Linked DNA regions of Neurospora crassa OR74A. The protein of the gene in region 2 purifies or fractionates together with the protein of the main gene of each other region. This does not show direct contact. Links are inferred from orthologs where the notes say so. Each region holds a gene or a part of one and is shown on either strand. Other genes may lie near its edges.

The links. Proteins that work in one complex are often made in the same cells at the same time.
Region 1: the proteins of NCU06748 (region 2) and NCU16016 purify together in Saccharomyces cerevisiae (affinity purification with western blotting, with the first as the bait; 4 studies listed by BioGRID). This does not show direct contact. The link is inferred for Neurospora crassa OR74A from reciprocal best matches to the Saccharomyces cerevisiae genes COA1 and COX1.

What each region holds. Positions count from the first base shown.
Region 1 is NC_026614.1:35,167-45,158, forward strand, and holds NCU16016 (cytochrome c oxidase subunit 1), read left to right. Parts: upstream 1-4,101; coding exon 4,102-5,775; downstream 5,776-9,992. Other genes in the region: NCU16015 (laglidadg endonuclease), read left to right, coding at 445-1,485; NCU16013 (cytochrome b), read left to right, coding at 448-541, 1,818-2,485; NCU16014 (group I intron endonuclease), read left to right, coding at 1-77; NCU16017 (hypothetical protein), read left to right, coding at 5,738-7,618; NCU16018 (NADH dehydrogenase subunit 1), read left to right, coding at 8,520-9,159; NCU16019 (group I intron endonuclease), read left to right, coding at 9,337-9,992. UniProt on the Saccharomyces cerevisiae protein: Component of the cytochrome c oxidase, the last enzyme in the mitochondrial electron transport chain which drives oxidative phosphorylation.
Region 2 is NC_026502.1:2,064,796-2,075,353, reverse strand, and holds NCU06748 (hypothetical protein), read left to right. Parts: upstream 1-5,052; 5' UTR 5,053-5,215; coding exon 5,216-5,378; intron 5,379-5,516; coding exon 5,517-5,998; 3' UTR 5,999-6,392; coding exon of another isoform or gene 6,393-7,547; 3' UTR 7,548-7,674; downstream 7,675-10,558. Other genes in the region: NCU06746 (hypothetical protein), read right to left, coding at 1,004-1,980, 2,075-2,225; NCU06747 (hypothetical protein), read right to left, coding at 3,015-3,440, 3,504-3,794; NCU06749 (mitochondrial 54S ribosomal protein YmL9), read right to left, coding at 6,393-7,547; NCU06750 (coiled-coil domain-containing protein 25), read left to right, coding at 8,245-8,317, 8,465-8,504, 8,647-8,750, 8,829-9,229; NCU06751 (DUF1000 domain-containing protein), read right to left, coding at 9,485-9,896, 10,049-10,308. UniProt on the Saccharomyces cerevisiae protein: Required for efficient assembly of cytochrome c oxidase in the mitochondrial inner membrane. Involved in a step coupling MSS51-dependent cotranslational insertion of COX1 to the addition of its heme A and copper B cofactors.

The sequences.
Region 1 (9,992 bases), on a different chromosome or scaffold from region 2:
CCATTAGAAGAGCACTGCAGACAGAAAAAAAATTAGTTAAAAGACAGTGAATAGTAGAAGATTTTTCTGACAAATAGGTTTTATTCCTTATTATACTTTATTCTTTATTATACTTTATTCTTATATAAACCATAGTCCCATGAGTATAAATCTTTTTGCAATTTTTATAGAAAAAAAAAGATTAAAGTGGTACATCCCGACAGGGATGTAAAATAGTTTTAGTACTATTTGGCGATGTTAGTGAAAACGGTTAAAATCCCTCTACTTATGCTGGGACAAGACCGTCGGTTATATAAATAATCGCTACAGACTGGGTCACTAATGGGTGGCTGAAATGCTGCTTAATGTACAGTCGGAACTTTTAATTAAACAAAGGTATTTAATTAATGGAATACACGAATTAAAAGTTATTCCAGCTTATTATTGATATAATAAGTAAGTACGTATGTTTTACCTTATGGACAGATGAGTTTATGAGGTGCTACTGTTATTACCAATTTAATAAGTGCAATTCCATGAATTGGACAAGATATTGTTGAGTCAAAAATTATTACTTTAATTATTAATTTATCTTTTATTGCTATTTTATTTTCAATTGTAGTTGTGTATTATTATATCTTACTACATGTTAATTTTTCATCTAACCTTCCTACGATAGGTGTTATTCATCAAAACGCTTTAAAGAAATCAAATAAGGCTTTAAGATTAGATAAACAAGAATATATATCCATTCCTTCATCATTTTTAGCTTTTTTAGCTGGATTGGTTGATGGTGATGGGTATATTCAAGTAACTAAAACATCTAAAGGTTTCATAGCAATTAAGTTAGTTATATCTCTTCATTTAGAAGATCTTTCTATTTTAGAATATATTCATTCTGTTTTAAAAATAGGTAAGATAAATATTTATAAGGATTTAAGAAGTCCAACTTGTAAATTAGTAATTAATAAAACGGATCTACAAGAAATATTGTTCCCATTGCTTATGTATAATAAGATTTTTTTCTTAACTAATACTAGAGCAGATCAATTTAACTTAGCTATGTATATATTCAAAAATGATATTAAGATGTATAATCAAATTCCCGATAACACACCTGCTGTTTTTGAGATACCTAAAAATCCTATTGATTACACATTATTGCCTTTTTTTAAAAATTGAATAGTCGGATTTACATGTTCTGAGGGTTCATTTTTTATTAAAAGTAATAATGATGGTTGTTTTCAATTAAAACAGAGAATACATACTAATTTATTTGAAGCCTTTAAACTAATGTTTAATACTAATAGAAAAATAGATACAACAAATAATTTTAATCAATTTGGTGTTAGTTCTAAATCTGATATACAAAAAGTTATAAATTTCTTTTCATTTTCAGGTTTACATCCTTTAGTAGGGTTGAAATATATTCAATATATAAAATGGTTAAATAATTTACGAGAAAGTTTGCGTTATAGTACCTTAAATTATCCTGATGCAAAATAATGCAAGATAGATTGCAAAAGATATAAATTAATAAATGTAATGGGGCTCCTTAAAATAGGTAGGGTTTAATCTTATTATATTTTAGAGGCAAATGGGGAAAATTACAAGGACATTTAATAAATTACCTCCGTTTTATTAGATTATTTGTAGCGAAACTTAATTCGGTATATAAAAAATGGATTAAGAACGTTCAACGACTAATGAGTGAGTTATACCAACAATAAGCTCAACACGATACCCCCAAAATCCACTCTATGAGTGGGTTTAAGATATAGTCTAAATATACCCTTAAGGGTGTAAAGTATAAGTTAAATATTATACGTAATATATTGTCATTTGAGGAGGTTTTAGTGTAAACAATGCTACTTTAAATAGATTCTTTGCTTTACATTTTGTTTTACCATTTATTTTAGCAGCATTAGTATTAATGCATCTGATTGCACTTCATGATACAGCAGGGTCAAGTAACCCTTTAGGTGTTTCAGGTAATTACGATAGAATAACATTTGCTCCTTATTATTTATTTAAAGATTTAATAACTATTTTTATCTTTATATATGTTTTAAGTTCATTTGTTTTCTTTATGCCCAATGTTTTAGGTGATAGTGAAAATTATATAATGGCCAACCCTATGCAAACTCCACCTGCTATTGTGCCAGAATGATATTTATTACCTTTCTACGCTATATTAAGATCTATACCTAATAAATTATTAGGAGTTATTGCTATGTTTAGTGCAATATTAGCTATAATGTTATTACCTATAACAGATTTAGGTAGATCAAAAGGTTTACAATTTAGACCTTTAAGTAAATTCGCTTTCTGAGCTTTTGTAGTAAATTTCTTAATTTTAATGAAATTAGGTGCTTGTCATGTAGAATCACCTTTTATTGAATTAGGTCAATTTAGTACAATCTTTTATTTCAGTTACTTTATATTTATAGTACCTGTGCTTAGTTTAATTGAGAATACTCTTGTAGATCTCAACTACTTGAAATAAGATTTTTTTAGCAAAGCTAAAAAAAATTTTTTTTAGCTTTGCTAATTTGGTTTTTTTTGAGGCGAGCTTTCCTACCTTCCTCCCTTCCACTTCTCGAGGCGAGCTTCGCTTAATTTTTTTTTTAGCCGTCCCCCCGCCCTGCAGTACTGCAGGGGGGGGGTGGAGGGAAACGGAGGAGGCCGTAAATAATTATTTGATCTTAGCAAGGGATCAGGATTACGATGTAAATGGTTTACCCTTTGACTGCAAATCTTAAGGATTAGGTTCGATTCCTACGTAATCCTTTAGGGTTAGCCTATAGCCAATTTTTTTGAGGCTAGCTTAATTTTTTTTAGCCGTCCCCCCGCCCTGCAGTACTGCAGGGGGGGGAAGCTAAAAAAAATAAGCGCCAGCCCAAAAAAAAATGAAGCAAGCTGCCCGCAAATTTAATAAATTTACTAACTATCTTAATGAAAAAAAAAAAATAATTCTATAAGGGGAGTAATTATCTGTATTTAGGGCTTAAATAATATGGGGGTAGTACATAATAATAATATTTAAGCACTAAAACATATATTTGTTTTTGTTTTTAAAAATATATGATAAAAAGACGCCTCGCGGCTCGATTTATTATTTGTATGTAAAATAAATTTAGGTTTAGTTTAGTTTGGAGGCGAGCTTCGCTAGCCCCTAAAATATACAAACTAAATCTTCTCTTGTAGGCTACAAAGGAATATAAGATACTAAGTAGTATCTTAACTGATGTTGTAGAAAAGGCGGAGTGATTCTGAGGCAAGCTTCGCCCGCCTTAACAAAATATGTATTATGAAGAAATAAACCGGTAAAGAAATATTTCTTTTTTTTTTTATATACACTACCTACATATTTTGGAGGCGAGCTTCGCTTAATTTTTTTAGCCGTCCCCCCGCCCTGCAGTACTGCAGGGGGGGAAGCTAAAAAATAATTGCCTCCCAAAATATTTTTAATATTTTGGTTAAATAATAAGATAAGTCTTCATTTTCTCGCGTAGCGGAGGCTCTCCTAACAAACCCCCCGCAAGCTTGCGGGGGTTTAGAAGTGGGAGCAAAATGAATTATAATAATAACTTGTGCGCTCCTCCAAAGGCGCTCATCCACTCTTCACAATCCCCCTTCCCCCCCCTGCAGTACTGCAGGGCGGGGGGACGGGGGGATATGTGGATAAGGGTAGCGAGAAAAGTTAATTTACTACATGAGGCTAATGGAATATTGGATAGCTGACTTAATATAGCAAGGCACTTCGTTGGTTCTAATACTGATTTAGCCGTGATTCCGCCTTTTTTTTTTTTTTTTTTTTTTTTAAAAAAAAAAAAAAAAAGAAAGTCCACAAAACATTGAAAGGCTAGTGTGTTTTTTAGTAAGTCAGTCAATCACCTACGTAGGTGATCCAGAATTACGTTACCGGGGATATTCTGTTGGTCGGTTTACAGAATATCCTGGTTAGCATTGATTGTATAATCAATAAGATGTTGTAATCTTATTTTATTTTTATTTATAAGATACGTAACCATTATAATAAAAACCATTATATTATTTAATCAATTAAATAGTGAGGAGTTTGGGCTCTCTTTAAATTCAAGTAAAAGAAGTGTCGGGTTAATGTCGTCAATTTCGATTTGAACTGAAAGATGATTTTTATCAACGAATGCTAAAGATATAGGAGTTCTTTATCTAATCTTTGCGCTATTTTCTGGGTTACTTGGAACAGCATTTTCTGTTTTAATAAGAATGGAGTTAAGCGGACCTGGGGTGCAGTACATTGCAGATAATCAATTATACAATGCTATAATAACTGCACATGCGATCTTAATGATTTTCTTTATGGTTATGCCAGCATTAATAGGTGGATTTGGTAATTTCTTGTTACCATTATTAGTAGGGGGTCCTGACATGGCATTCCCAAGACTTAATAATATTAGTTTCTGACTGTTACCACCAAGTTTACTATTATTAGTATTCTCTGCATGTATAGAAGGTGGAGCAGGTACAGGATGAACAATTTATCCTCCTTTATCAGGTGTACAAAGTCATAGTGGACCTAGTGTAGATTTGGCTATCTTTGCCCTACATTTATCAGGAGTTAGTTCCTTATTAGGGTCTATTAATTTCATAACTACAATAGTAAATATGAGAACACCAGGAATTAGATTGCACAAATTAGCTTTATTTGGATGAGCTGTAGTTATTACAGCTGTATTATTATTACTATCTCTCCCCGTGTTGGCCGGTGCAATTACTATGCTATTAACAGATAGAAATTTTAATACATCATTCTTTGAAACAGCTGGTGGTGGTGATCCTATTTTATTCCAACATCTTTTCTGATTCTTCGGGCATCCTGAGGTTTACATTTTAATTATACCTGGTTTTGGTATAATAAGTACAACAATATCAGCTTATTCTAATAAATCAGTATTCGGTTATATTGGTATGGTCTACGCCATGATGTCTATTGGAATATTAGGATTTATTGTTTGAAGTCATCATATGTATACAGTTGGTTTAGACGTGGATACAAGAGCGTATTTCACAGCAGCTACATTAATTATTGCAGTTCCTACAGGAATTAAAATATTCTCATGATTAGCTACATGTTATGGAGGTTCTATTAGATTAACTCCTTCTATGTTATTTGCTTTAGGTTTTGTATTTATGTTCACAATTGGGGGATTAAGTGGAGTTGTTTTAGCGAATGCATCTTTAGATATAGCATTCCACGATACTTATTACGTAGTTGCTCATTTTCACTATGTATTAAGTATGGGTGCTGTATTTGCAATGTTTAGCGGATGATATCACTGAGTACCTAAAATATTAGGTTTAAATTATAATATGGTGTTATCTAAAGCTCAATTCTGACTTTTATTCATAGGGGTTAATTTAACATTCTTCCCTCAACATTTCTTAGGTTTACAAGGTATGCCAAGAAGAATAAGTGATTACCCTGACGCATTTTCAGGTTGAAATTTAATAAGTAGTTTTGGGTCAATCGTAAGTGTAGTAGCTTCTTGATTATTCTTATATATTGTGTATATACAACTAGTTCAAGGAGAATACGCAGGTAGATATCCATGATCAATCCCACAATTCTATACTGATAGTTTACGTGCTCTTTTAAATAGAAGTTATCCTAGTTTAGAATGATCTATAAGTAGCCCACCTAAACCTCATTCATTCGTGAGTCTTCCATTACAATCTTCATCATTTTTTTTATCATTTTTTAGATTATCATCATATGGGGAACAAAAAGAAATCAGTGGGAGGCAAAATTAATTTTCTTGAACTTTTAACTTTCATCCAATTTTTAACTCATAAACTAACTTTAACACCACCAAAACCTCACCTTTTTGTGACCTCAAATTTACAAGCATCTATTTGGAACTGACCTTCTAAATCTCGTATTACTGAAATATCTAAAGCCATCTGAATGAATATGATTAAGAAGTTTAAAATATTTATTTTTTTTGCTCTACCTACTATGTTAATAGTTAAAGGTATATATATTTGTTATGATCAGGAGATATGAACTCTGGTATTTTTTACTCAAAATTTGGTAAAAAATTTCCCTTTTTTTGGCTTAAGATTATTTAATATGATTTGAGTAGAGTCCAATTTAGGAGTAGAAGCGTCCAATTTAGGAGTAGAAGCTCCTAAAGCTTCTTCAATATTTTTAGATCTTCATCTTTGAACCTTGATGTACCTATTTGGTAGTTTAGCTAGAATTTTTGGAGAACTATATTATAGTGATTTTGAATTACCTGCGGGTGTAGGTGGTGAGTCTTGTGAAAAAAAAACACCATCTCCACGTGGACCTTTAACTTTATATAAAAAAGGTTCAGACTCAGGTGCATCAGGAGGTTCAGATTCACCTCCATCTGCAAAAGGAAATTCAGGTGCAAGCTCAGGTCCTAATCAAGACCGATTAGCACCAGAAACAGATTCAGAGGATGAAACAACACAAACAGATCAAGGTCCTAGATCCCGAGGTTATCGTAAAACAAGAACACGCTCAATGGTGCGTAGGCGTTGAATACGAGATAAACCAGACTGAGTAGAAGGTTTATGAACAAGGTCTTCCACTGAAGGAGTGGAAAACTTAGATGCTACTAAGGCAAGTCAAACTAAGTCAGCTGCAGAAAACTTAGATGCTATTAAGGCAAGTCAAACACCTAAGTCAGCTGCAGAAAACTTAGATGCTGCTGCTATTAAGGCAAGTCAAACACCTAAGTCAGCTGCAGAAAACTTAGATGCTGCTAAGGGAAGTAAAAGTAAAAGTAAGTCAGCTGTAAAAAAAGCTGCCAAAGCTGCCAAAAAATTAGCTGCCGAAAACTTAGATGCTATTAAGGCAAGTCAAACACCTAAGTCAGCTGCAGAAAACTTAGATGCTGCTGCTATTAAGGCAAGTCAAACACCTAAGTCAGCTGCAGAAAACTTAGATGCTGCTAAGGGAAGTCAAACTAAGTCAGCTCCAAAAAACTTAGCTCCTATTACGGGAAGTCAAGCACCTAAGGTTAAAGCTGCTTTGGCTGAGTTTTTGGGAATAGAAACTTCTCAATTGCAGACGACTGCAGTAGTTAGAGAACTAGCCACTAAGTTGGAAGATGATCTTCCAGGATCTCTTGATTTTGCTGATCAGGAGAATGGAAACAAAATCATTTCGATGCTAAAACTTCGTGAATTCGCTCTACAGGAAAACAATAGATATAGATCTACGATTTATAAATCTTTAGGTCAGTTTATGGATCCGGAAAGCCATAAAAATTTAAAGGAGATCCTAGATAAACTCGAGGAATCCAAGAATTTACTTATGACAGAAGGTCAAAAACATAAAAATACATTTGACAGAAATAGTCAGCAAAATACTGCTTATAATTTTAAAGGTGATATGAAAAAATATCTCGAGCTTCAAAATAAAGTTCAACATAGTCAAATGAAAAACTTTAAATTAGCGGAATCTATTATACAGAAAAATATCCAGCGTGAGTATAAATGTAAAGAACTTAAAGATTTCCTCCACCAAGAATTTCCAACTTCTTGTAGAGATTTCAATGACCAAGAAATGAAATTAAAGAAATACTTTCTAAATGCATTTAATCAGGCTAAAACTAAAAATTAGATCGAAAAAAAAATTCCTTCCTTCCCCCCTGCAGTACTGCAGGGCGGGGGTAAAATAACCTAGCCGCATTAAATCAAATCCAATCCCATCCCATCCCATCCCTCCCTAACCAGCCGCAATAAAATTTCAAATTATTTAGTAGACATTTAGAGGACTGGAGAGTTAGGAAACAAGAGGAAAGAACAGTAGCCCCTGCCCAGCCAGGAGACACTAGGAACGTATGGAAAACCTAGAAACGTAGTAATATGAACACAATCTATATGGGGTAAGCTTGCGCCCCTCACCTTAAATATTTAGTCTATATACCCGACTTAAGAAAGCTTATTTTTTAATATAGGGCTAGACTTAAGTAAGGCTTGGTTTTTTTATGCCTTACTTCGTAGGAGAAATGGAATATACGGGTAGCTTAAATTTTAAGCTTAATCAACCTAGTATGTAAACATATACTACTACGGGTATAAACTCTTCCCCCCTCGTATCCCCCCTTTAATCCCCTTTAATCCCCTTCCCCCCTGCAGTACTGCAGGGCGGGGGAGGGGGATAAGGGGGGGGATTAGGGATAAGAGTATTATACATTTCTCATTAGCTCAAAGGAAGAGCAGGATACTTCTAATATTCCGATTTTAGTTCGAATCTAAAATGAGAATTAAGTGATTAATCATTAGATAGTAAAGTCAATGATTCTTTACGAATACTACTTTAAATTTTAAAGTTTTAATATTTTATATTTTGGCACACACAATTCAATTTTTTGGCCTAGATTGCTTAATAATAAATCAATTCCAATTATTAAAAGATTCGAGGGCCCGTGGGGCCTTGAATCAACCCCGGAGGGGGGTCGATTCTTCATCTCGATCTTCTTCTTCTGCTTCTTCATCATTTAATCTAATTTTTTTTTTTTATGTTTTATTCCCTAACAATAATCTCGATTTTAGAAGTTCTTTTGGTATTAGTTCCCTCTTTATTAGCAGTAGCTTATGTGACAGTAGCGGAAAGAAAAACTATGGCAAGTATGCAAAGAAGATTGGGTCCGAATGCCGTAGGTTACCTAGGACTTTTGCAAGCATTTGCTGATGCTTTGAAACTTTTACTAAAAGAATATGTAGCACTTACACAAGCTAATATGACATTATTCTTTTTAGGTCCTGTTATTACATTAATTTTTTCTCTTTTAGGTTACGCAGTAATACCTTATGGACCGTCATTGGTTATTCAGGATGTGAATTTAGGTATATTATATATGTTGGCTGTTTCTTCTCTAGCGACCTACGGAATACTTTTAGCTGGATGAAGTGCTAATAGTAAATATGCTTTTTTAGGGTCATTAAGAAGTGCAGCCCAATTAATTAGTTATGAGTTAGTCTTAAGTTCTGCGATACTTTTAGTTATTATGTTAACTGGAAGTTTTAATCTTGGTGTGAATACTGAATCTCAAAGGGCTGTTTTATTTGTATTACCTTTATTGCCTATATTTATTATATTTTTTATTGGATCGATTGCGGAAACTAATCGTGCCCCCTTTGATTTAGCTGAGGCTACTAATATGATTTGGTCTCATTAAAGATCACAAATTGCTGGAAACTCCTTTGAGGCTAGGACAATCAGCAAGGAAGTTAACATATAATGTTAAAACCTTCAGAGACTAGACGTGATCATTTAATAGACGCCTTGCGGCTCTATTAGATAAGGTATAGTCCAAATTTGTATGTAAATACAAAATGATAAAAAAAATGAAATCATATATAAATATGAACTCTACCGTTACTACCTTAGGTGCGAACTATTTAGTTCATACAGGTTATTTTAATACTATATCTAGATTAAAAGTTTGTACAATAGCTAGTTATAGATATTATTCTACTTCAAAATCAGATTCACAATCATCTGATTTACCTCCTGTTCCTATTTTTACTATTAATAATCTAAATAATAAAGACTCTATTAAATCTTCTAGAATATTATTAAAAGACAAAGGAGGTATTTATTCTTTTATTAATACAGTCAATAATAATCAATATATCGGAAGTGCCAAGGATTTTTATTTAAGACTTAATGAACATTTGGAAAATAAGAAGTCTAATATTGCTTTACAAAAAGCATTTACTAAGTATGGCTTAGATAAATTTATATTTTGTATATATGAATATTTCACATACGAAAGCAAAATTATAAGTCATAAAGCTTTAACTGATCTAGAGACTAGTTATATTAACAGATTTAATTTTGATAATCTTTACAATTTTAAAGCTATAGCTACAAGCTCTTTAGGTTATAAACATACAGAAGAAGCAAGATTAAAGATGGTTGATTATTATAAGGATAAAAATAATCATCCTATGTTTGGTAAAACTCATACTGAAGAAGCACTAGGTTT
Region 2 (10,558 bases):
AACCAAACTACGACCAGATCACACAACAACCAACAACCCAAATCAGCAAACATCACAAGCCAACATCCAAGTCCTCACCGACAAAAATGCTACGTAACAGCAGGCTCTCCCCTGATTACCCCCCTCATCCTCCTCTCCGCCCTTTGCCTCTTTATCACTTTCGGCCCTTACCCTCCTCTTTCCGCCAAAGCCACTTCTTCTCTTCGGGCCAAACCTACTACTATAAAATTCCGCCCTCCTCCTCCTCCTCCTCCTCCTCCTCAACCCTCCCCCTCTAGTTTCGTCACTGTTTCTATTCAGGCCGGTGGGGCATCGACTTTGTAGTCTCGGCCCCACCCGTCGTCATCTGCATCGACCGCTACGAACTCGACGCTTACTGTGACCGCTGTCTTATCACGGTTTATGAGAAGGTGGAAGAAGATAATGGGATGGGGTGTAGAAGAAAGTGAAAGGTTCAAGAGATTGGTGGTGGTGGCAAGGTGGTGAGGTAAGGCGCCTGGTTGTTCTGGTGCCCCTGGAATAGAATTAGGATGAAAGGGAAGAATTGGTTAGTTAAAAGGAGATGCTAGATTCTACAGATATGATTGCGGTCGCAGAAAGGAGGGCGGAAGATGTGGGGAACACTTTGGATACTTGTGTACCTATAGGCAACGAGGGCTTTTGGGTTTGGTTTTTGGAACAAATCGAGACGATACCTCACCTTTTAGGTAACTGGCGAGTTGACGTTTGACGGCATTGGGAATGTAAGTACTCTGTGTGAGAAATTGAAAAGTGTCTTGCCAGCTATCTTCAAACTCAAGGCCTTGTCATTTCAACCAGACAAATGCGATGGGACACTCATGTCGTGACGGCGTACACTCATGTTCCTGTTGTTTTCATTACAATATTCCATGCCATTAAAAGCGTGCTCAGTTACCCCCTTTCTGACCCATTCATTACGCCCGTAAGCCGTTGCAGTAAACATTCTCAGCCATCTTCTCCCTCTGTTCCTTCAGATAGAGAACTACGACCTCCACCATGAGCAGACCCCAAGCACAAAGATACAAACGAGAATATCCGCCTTAACCGTGCTTAATATCTGTCCATACCTCATCGCAATCTCCAAATAGCCCTTCCACGGCTGCGGCAAGAAACCCACAGCCATACCCAACATACCACCACCAAAAGCGCCGCCCACGGGACTCTTTGCCAAACCCTTTTCCAGAAAGAAGCGCGTCGTCAGCAGCAGCGCCTCAGCCGTAGCAAACACGTAGAAAAACCGTCTGGCCGAATCCGTATCGAAGCCCACAGCCACCTGGTCCCCCGCGCCCACGTGGTGGTGCTTGTTGCCAGTAAGGATGTTCTTGCTGTCCCTGTCGACCTTGCTGCCGCTGAACGAAGTCCACAGCGCAATGTAGAGACCGAGACCGAGCGCCACGGCCGTGTGCAGCAGGCGCCACAGGGAGGAGTACCGGTCGGGAACGGCCATGGCGGGCGGAACTCCTGGCTGGCCCATGCCCATTCCGGGAGGCATCATGCCGCCCATACCGGGCATGCCGGGGAACCCTCCTCCCGGAAAAGGTGGCATACCACCAGCACCGGAACCGGGAGCTCCACCTCCGCCAAGCATGTCGAGCATCATTTGCATCATCGGGTCCTCAGCGCCCGGACCACCCTGACCGCCCGGCCCTGCTCCCAGTAGGCTGGCAAAGGGGTCGCCGCCGGCGGCACCTGGAACCATGGGGGATTCGCGGCCGAGCATCATCTGGCGCAGGCTCTCTTCGGAGAGGTCGTTCGGGTCGAAGGGGGAAGGACCTTGTGTAGGCTGTGGCAGCTTGGGAATTCTTGGGGTGGTGTTTGGTTGGTAGAAGTGTTCAGAGGTGGAGATGTCGACCTCTTCGGGGTCGGCGTGAACTCGGGGTGCGGAGCTGGAGGTCGGGACTGGCAATGTCTTGTCATCGTTGCTGCTGCTGCTGCTGGCTGGCTGCGTAGGAGGAGGGTCTGAAGAGAAGACCAATGTCAGCTTTGGTTTAGTGCCATTTACATGATATTGTACTATGCTAGGACACGCGATGGATGGACGGAAAACACTGACCTCTTTCAACACCGCCTCCCAACCCAGTGATCTTGTTTAGACGATTTCCGGCATTGGCCCTGATCTTAGCCTCGCGTCGCTCCTTTCGAATGCGAGCCTGCTCGAGGGCGCGCGCCTCTGCCTCGTCTGCGGGGGAAATTCCCTCTGTCATGGTCTTTGTTGTCCGAGATACTCGTTGATTTGGGTGGGTGTCGTTAGGTACAAGATCGATCCGTCACTCTGTTGTTCCAATGTATGTATTTGTTTCGATATTCGTTTTGCGCGCCCGCGCAGAGGGATTGATCGGTTGAGGGATGGATGATGATTTATTTGTAAAAAAAAAAAGAGAAGAAATGGACAGATTGAAGTAGAAGCGACAAAGGTGATTGTGACGTCGTGCCTTCTTCTTCAGTGGACGAACGTGGCTCTTCCGGTTCCCTCTTGCTCCCTGTTGGTCGCTGTTGTTCAGCTACGTACAGTACATAGGTAAGGTCCGGGATGCCCGCCATCGGACTACTGAGCTGTCGGTCTGCCCCGTCCCCAAAAATCCTTATCTATGTCCCGCCTTATCGGAAGGTCCACACGTACTGAGGAGCTAGGTACCTACCCCTGCATTCACTGTTGTTGAGTGTTGACCCCCCCCGCGAACCCCTTTTTCCTTGTCACATCGGCGTCGTTCGGATGCAATGCAGGTGTGCAAGTACGTGGTGGTAGAGCATTGTTTCTCAAGGTGAAGCTCTGATACCCATCTTGGCGGCTATATATAATATATTCCTTTCAAACTATAGTACCACTGAGATCATCTTTGTTACTCATATGTCGACACTCTTCCATCCATCTACCTCTTTTGAGCAAGACCCTTTGTTTACTAATGAATTGACATCGGTTATGACATCTCGACCGTACCGCTCAAGTGACCACAATCACAAATCCCTTATGTTCCCCAACTTGAAAGCCCACATCAGGCTACCAAGTGAGCGGACTCATGCGGTCGTTCTTCAAATGGCTGTTCTGTCTTCCTACCCCTCGACCTCCTGAAACTCAACAGCTCCACGATGACGAGGACCATGAGAATGAAACCAAGAATCATGAAGGGAATAAGGTTGTAGCGCCATCCGCGCATGGTTCTCAATTTCTTCTTCAGTATGTCGTGATCGTCGCTGTGGACAAGTGATAGACTGTTGACCAGCGTATACCAGTTCTCCGGGGTCCAAGAGTCCCGTGGGTACGGCTTCGGAGCACTGCCTTCTGCGTAGGCGAGGTCGATACCCTGATCCGAATGCTTGTTGGTCAGGACATAGGTATAGATCAGAGCCGTGAGAGTAAGAAGCCAGCTGAGAATCGTGATAAGGGCCCAGAGATAGTAGAATGGCGATGTTTTCCCGTACTGCCACAAGGTTAGTACCATAGACGCACACTGCACAATGATTCTACGAGAATGAACACATACCTTTGCCCTGGACCTATGCTCCAACCACAAAGCTAGGAGGCCACCGAACCCTACAAGGACGACGCCCGTACCTCCTGCTGCATTTGTCGTGTGGCCGTGGTCCGTCAAAAGATGTGCAGGTTCTCCGGGAAGGTCGAAGACCGAACCAAGTCGTCGGACCTCGAATGGTTGGCCGCCGCGTCCATGAAGAAATGCCACCATTGACGAGACAAGGGATAATGAGATGGCTGCGTCAACGTAAAGCAAAAACAAAGCCACATAGATGGCTTTCATGAGCCTGCTTGAAGCCATTGTGAACGAATCCCACTAGGGCTGAGGGAATAGAAGAGCTTAACAGTGTGAAGAAGGACAAGAACAGTTGGGGTCTTGATATGGCAAAGTGCAATGTGGTTGGGGCCTGTCCAAGTTACCCCAGATATTGACAACAGCGCCAGCCGTCTTATATGAGAGCGGACCGACTGCGGTCGTGCCGGTGTGTCTTTTCTCTCGTTGGGCGAAAGGCCTTCTCTCAGCCGTCTTTGGGGACGCGGATTGGGTCCCATTTCCAAATGTGGTGGTTGTCAGCTTGTCCACACGTAAGCACACAAAACTGACACTGCCTCTTCATGATGTGCAGTGAGATTGGCTCGACCGGGTACGTACTTCTCTTCTTTGTTCCAAAGGAGGGATATCACTGCGTATGCCCAGCCAACGCCACGAGAACCCTTCCATATGAGAGATGCCTAGTCTGCAGCATGGAACTGCCACGCGCTGATCCGTGGAAGCAAAGCATCCAGCACGAGGCTCGGCTCGCTTCGCAAGGTTGTAACCCGTTTTGTGGCTATACACAACAGAGCTTGCCTTGTCAGATATGGGATATTGTGACGTCCTGTACCGACGAATACTATTCTTTGTTGGGAGTTATTCGAGGCCGGTCGCAACCTTGAGAGTAAAAAGAGTCCAGTCCCCACTGGAGGATAGAAATTGACCGTGTCTCACGGCATATGGCGTTGAAGCCAACTGCATCATAGGCGGACAGGAAGAGACCATACTTCTCAGCCCGGTGGAATAGTAGCGCCACGCTTTGAAGGTAAGAGCCAAAATAGGAAACTTGCCTCTCGGCCATCGTCATTAGGCATATAAGCAGAGAAATGCTGAACGATACAGCAACAGAACCACAGTTCATGGATTGGCAAGCTAACCGGCAACTCAACAGGAGTTTATCCTGTTTTCTTCTTCTTCTTGAACCTGGGACAACGAAGGACAAAGAAATGATGCATTTGCAACTTCTGAACAGAACGGGATAGTCTCATCGAGAAAAAAAAAAGAACATAAAAAGCCCCCAAATATCGCGGTGCCGACAAGGGCTGTTTGGAGGAAGCATTTAACACAACCCCGAGATTCTCTCGTCAACTCCTAACCCTCACCAGCCACCCCGACAGCTGGGTACTTGCTGCTACAAGAATATTGCCCAAAGGCTATGCACTGATCAAATCGTAGTGGGGTGGTCGACGTAGTGCCGCCCCACTGCCTATCGATAAACGAGTTATCGTAGGAATCGTCGCCAGGGCAGCTTCCATTTGGTAGGTAGGTCGGGTAGCTTTAGTGTACGGGACGAACTCCAGAAGCTTGTGTCAACACATCCTCCCGTCCCGTCCCTCCCCATCGTTCGTCTGAAAAATAACCTTCACACGAAAGTACACATATCATTCACACACACATAAACACACACAATGCTCTCTAGGATAACACAACGTATGGCGCTAAAGAGGGCGCTGGCGAGGCCTTCCCCTTGCGCCAAGGGCCGCGCTCAACCCCAGAGGAGATCTCTCACATCGGCACCCAGGCCTGGCGATGGTCCGTTGATGGAGAGGCGAGCTGATCGTGAACTTCCTGGTATGTTCTCCCCGTGTCTCTTCTTCTTCTTCTTCTCTTCTCTGTGTTCTGTATTTCCTGCTGTTTCCGCACCCCAATTGAGTTCCTTAGTACCATGGAAGTTACTGACCCCTCTTCCCTTTGCAACCACAAAAACAGATGTCCAAACCTCCCGCTTCCGCTGGTCCCGCACCTTCCCCATCTTCTTGGGCATCGTAGCCGCCACCTCGATCGCAATCTTCAACTACCAGAAACTCTCTTCCCCCGTGGTCGAGTCAACCCTCTATGCGCTGCGCACGAACCAGCGCGCGCGCGAGTACCTGGGTGACGAGATCTACTTCAAGGCGCAGATTCCGTGGATCTCGGGCGAGATGAACCAGCTGCACGGCCGCATCGACATCAAGTTCAATGTCAAGGGCACCAAGCGCACGGGCGTGATGCGCTTCGCCAGCTTCCGGCCCACGCCCCGAGGCATGTTCGAGACGACCGAGTGGAGTCTGGAGACGGAGGACGGCAAGGTCATTGACCTGCTGGAGGAGGGCGATCCGTTCAGAGCTATCAACGGCCGTGCGATGGAACCTGAGCTGGATGATGATGCAGAGGATGCGAAGGTCAGGGGTTTCAGGCAGATGCCCAAGTAATTGTTTTGGGGTGCTCTTAAGGAGGGAATAGTTTTGAAAAAAGGGAGGATATATATGGGAACCGGGGAAGGTGGTGGTCCCCCTCTCCCCCTCTCAAACAGGATGAGCTGAAGGACAGGATCGTGGTCTGGCTCTCTGATTGAATACCCGAAGGCTGTCAAGGAGGAATATGTGTAAGATATAGGGAGAGAACATACGAACCTATCACGGGCAAGGGTTGTATGTTCAAGTTGTTATACATTTTCGGTAGCTGTACATTTTAACACCCCACGATGCGTGTGTATCATACAAGAGAGAACTAAAAAAAATGAGAAACCGGGAAGGCTTTACCATACATTCCCTTCCATAAACCTAGTACAAACACATACTACAGACCAGAGACAGCCCCCCTCTCTTAAGCCGAAGCTTCTACCGCAGCATTTCCATCCGCCTTCTCTGTCAGCCCATTCTTGATGAGCGAATCTATCAGGCCCTGTCTCCTCGCCTCCTTGAGCTCCAAGTGCAACTTCCTCGCCGCCTGCAACTTCTCCTCCGCATCAGGGAACCGCTCGTTGAGGAGCTGCTTGGTGGCCTCGACAAACTCCTCCGGGGGAGGAGCCTTCTTGACAGCATCCTGAACCTTGACAACCGCACCCTTGTGACCAGCGACCGCGCCCTTGACCACCACGATGCCGAGCTCGTTGTCCACCATCAGAATGGGCAGGTTCTGGACCGTGTGCTGCTGCGCGCCCATGCGACCGGGCATCTTCTTGCCGGGCAACACACGCGAACCGGAGCCCTGCGAACCACCGACGGAACCAATGGTACGGTGGTTCAGCGAGTTACCGTGCGACGCCTCCTGACCGGCGAAGCCGTGACGCTTCATACCACCGGCAAAACCCATACCGCGCGTGATGCCGCGCACGTCCACCACCTGGCCGACGTGGAACCAGTCCGGAAACAGCTGGACGCCGACCGGCAACAAGCCGTCCTGGTTGCGCACCTTGAACTCGGCGAGCGTCTGCTTGGGCGGGATGCCCTTGGCCTCGTAGTAGCCGAGCTGCGGGGCGCCCACGTTTTCGGCGCGGCGCTCGCCCAGGCCAACCTGGACGGCCCAGTAGCCGTTCTTGGCGCGCGTCTTGTTGGCGACGACTTGGACCCGGTCGAGCTGCAGAACGGTGCAGGGGATGCGGGCGCCGGTGCGGCCCATGAAGACGGTCATGCCCTTCTTGACAGCGAGCACGCCGGTGCGCAGGGGTGTAGTCTTCTCGCGGCGCTTGAGGGCAGCGGCCGGGCCCGAGGTGGGCGCCGGAAGACCCTGCGTCACTTGGTTGAATCGTGTGGGCCTGCTGCGCTTCGGGAGCGTGCTCCAGCCGTACTTGACGCCGCGCTTTGTGATCTGAGGGAGGAGGGAGGGAAAGACAGTCGATGGCGAGGAGGCGGAGAAGGTGGGTGTGGTCCGGCCGGCGAGGAGGAGGGAGCTGGCGGCGGCGGTGGTTGTGGTGTGGGTGGCTGACCTCTCGACGAGGGAGAGCTGCCTCCAGCAGCGCGCGGGCAGCCGGGGCGCCATCGTGTATGTGTATAAGTCTGAGGGGAGGGTTGGGTGGTGTTGTGTTGCTTTTGGTGGGGTTGGTCGCAGTCAATTGGACCTGACGGTGTTCGTTGTATCGATGTCGGGGCCCCGGAGCGTCGAGTGGGGGGAATGGAAAGGACACCGGCTGTCTTCGAGACGCGAACCGGAGGGGGCGGAGTTGGGAGGTCGTTTCGGCGCGCGGCCGTTGAGGTGGTTTTGGGGCGGGTGCGGGAGTGGTGGTCGCCGGCTCGAAGCACGGAGCAGCAGAAATTTGATAGCCACTCAGAAATTCAGTAACGGGATGCTCCCCCCCCGATAACGTCGATCGGTTCGGCATCCGGGGATTCACAATTGACAGGGGAGGGGCGGCTATTCACAGGCGGGTACTATGTATTTGGCGGATTGTGGTGTACAGAGTGTGACATCTCTACAAGAAGGGTTAGGGTTAATTGCTTCTTTCTATTCACTTAGGTAGTTTTACTTCCGCTGGAGTGCGGGCGCATTTTACCGCATTGGATCCCCCAAACTCAACCGCTAAAACATCTTCACTCGAACCACCACCACACAGCCCCAGAGAAGAAATCGCGTTTTTGCATCTTGGTTTCCCTTCTTGCACGAAGTGTCTTTTTCATTGTCGCCGTTTTGAGATACCCAATATTCCCATCTTTCATTTCTTCCAAAGGCATCAGCAACCATGGTCTTCTATTTCACTTCGACCGTCGTCAGTCCCCCGGCTTTCATTTATGTGGGGAAAGACAAGTTTGAGAGTACGTGAAGATGATCATCAGCCACAATTGGTGGTATTCTGCATCTCCTTGTGGAATATGCATATATCTTGACACACTCATGGACATTGCATATTTGACTTGGATATAGATGTCAGCTCGTCACTCATCTAACATGCTATTTTATAGACGAGGAGTTGATCCAACACGGCTGGGAGGAGGATGTATGGTAAGTTTCACCCCGGCCAAGCCTAGTTCGGCATTTTCTAACTATTCTTCGTAGGGTATGACTCCCCATGAGGTTCTCGTCATATTATGCTCTGTTTCTCATTACTAGGCCCTACTTAGTTCCATGTCGACAAACTTTCCAGTGCTCATATCTACCTCCGTCTCCCAGAGGGTTGGACATGGGAGAACATTCCCGAGGAGCTCCTGACCGACCTTGGTCAGTTGACCAAGGCCAACTCCATCGAGGGTAAGTTGCTGCTTTTGAATTCTACTGTCAGGAAGTCATGGGGGAATTCGTGAGGACTAACTCTGTGCTTTTGTAAAGGTAACAAGAAGGACAACATCACAATCATCTATACCCCATGGGCCAATCTCAAGAAGGACGGCAGCATGGCGGTCGGCCAGGTCAGCTTCAAGGATCAGAAGAAGGTGAAGCGCATTTTGATCGCGCAGCGCGAAAATGCTATCGTCAACCGTCTGAACAAGACCAAGGTTGAGAAGCACCCGGACCTGCGAGAGGAGAAGGAGCAGCATCTCAAAGAGCTGCGCAAGAAGGATCAGGCGGCGGTGCTGGCGCGGAAGAAGGAGGAGGATCGCCTGAAGAAGGAGCGGGCCGAGAAGAAGTGGCAGAAGGATCATGCCTACGATGAGCTCTTTGCTGAGGAGAACATGATGAACTCGAGCAATCAGGATCGGGATGAGACCTGGGAGGATGATTTCATGTAAATTTGCTTGAGAACAAAAGAAACAAACCTACTGAAGTTTTCCAAGCTACATAAGACCTGAAAATCCTTTGATGCCCGAAAGCCATCGTCAGAACCTTCCCAACCTTGATTCCTATCTGGTATGCTGCCGCCTTTAAAGCAGCAGACTAAGAACTAAACCCGGTTTGACCCATCACTAGAGGTAGCTCCTTTATCCACTCTCGAACCTCTTTCTACCCGTCACTCATTCCTCACTCCCCTCAAAAGGTCCTCTCTACTACCCCTGACGGTTATATCCCACACCTCTTGCATCCGCCGTTCCCTTAACCTTATGATCCGTCGGCCTAGCCGCCGCCTCGTAGACGATATTCTTCGGCGCTTGTCCCAACGTCATCCACTCCCCCTTGAAACCAATATAACTGATTCTCGTTTCATCCTCCTCTCCTTGCGAAAAATTATCCGGGAAAAACAAGCACAGTCTTTGCACGGCGTTGAACTTGGCTCGCTTGACGGGCAATTCCTGGATTTCCGAAGTCTGGGAGAGCTCGAATTCTTGTGTGGGGGTAGAGTCCTCAGCTTGACCGAAATCGTGGATGTCGGCGTTGGCGAGGAGGCGGAGGGTGCGCGGGGCCGAGGGGGAGGGCGAGGTGCGCAGGAGGACCGAGTGCAGTTTGATTTGGGCTGTGAAACTATTCGGGAAGGGTCGGTGTGTTAGTGATTGGGTGTGTATGATGGGGTCATTGTATGATGTGTATGTTACGGGAGAGGAGTGACATTGAAATTTCGTGATGATGTGAATGACTTGAGTGATCAAGTGTGATAAAGTAGTAGTGTGACATACGGAACGTTGATAATCAGCTGCTCATCAGCATCGCTCACCACCTCGGGCTCCGTCGCCAATCGTTCGGCCCACGTCTTCTTGATAATGGCCTGGCCGGAGCCGTGCACCTGCTCGTTCAGCGTGGTGATCTCGTCAAAGTTGATGTGCTGGTACAGCGAGAACTGCACGGCGGGGGTGATGTCGTCAGAGTGGTCGTGCTCTGCCCCGCCCTCATGATGGTGGTGGTGGTCGTCGTGCTCGTCGTGGCAGTGGTGCGACATTGTCCTGAGTTGAGGTGTTGGAATATAAGATTTCTGTGCCTCGTGTTGTCAAGGTTTTGATGATTGATATTGACGACGGGGTGGTTGTTGAAGTTTGGTGAAAGTGAGGGGCCAAGACAGAATGCTTCCGTCGTAAACCTGCGTGATTTGAGTTGACCGTTAGTTCTTCCAGTGGGTGATTGCAACCAACTACATTTCAACGACGACCGTCAACAAAAATGCCTTTCGGAGATCGGAAAGCTAAATGGAA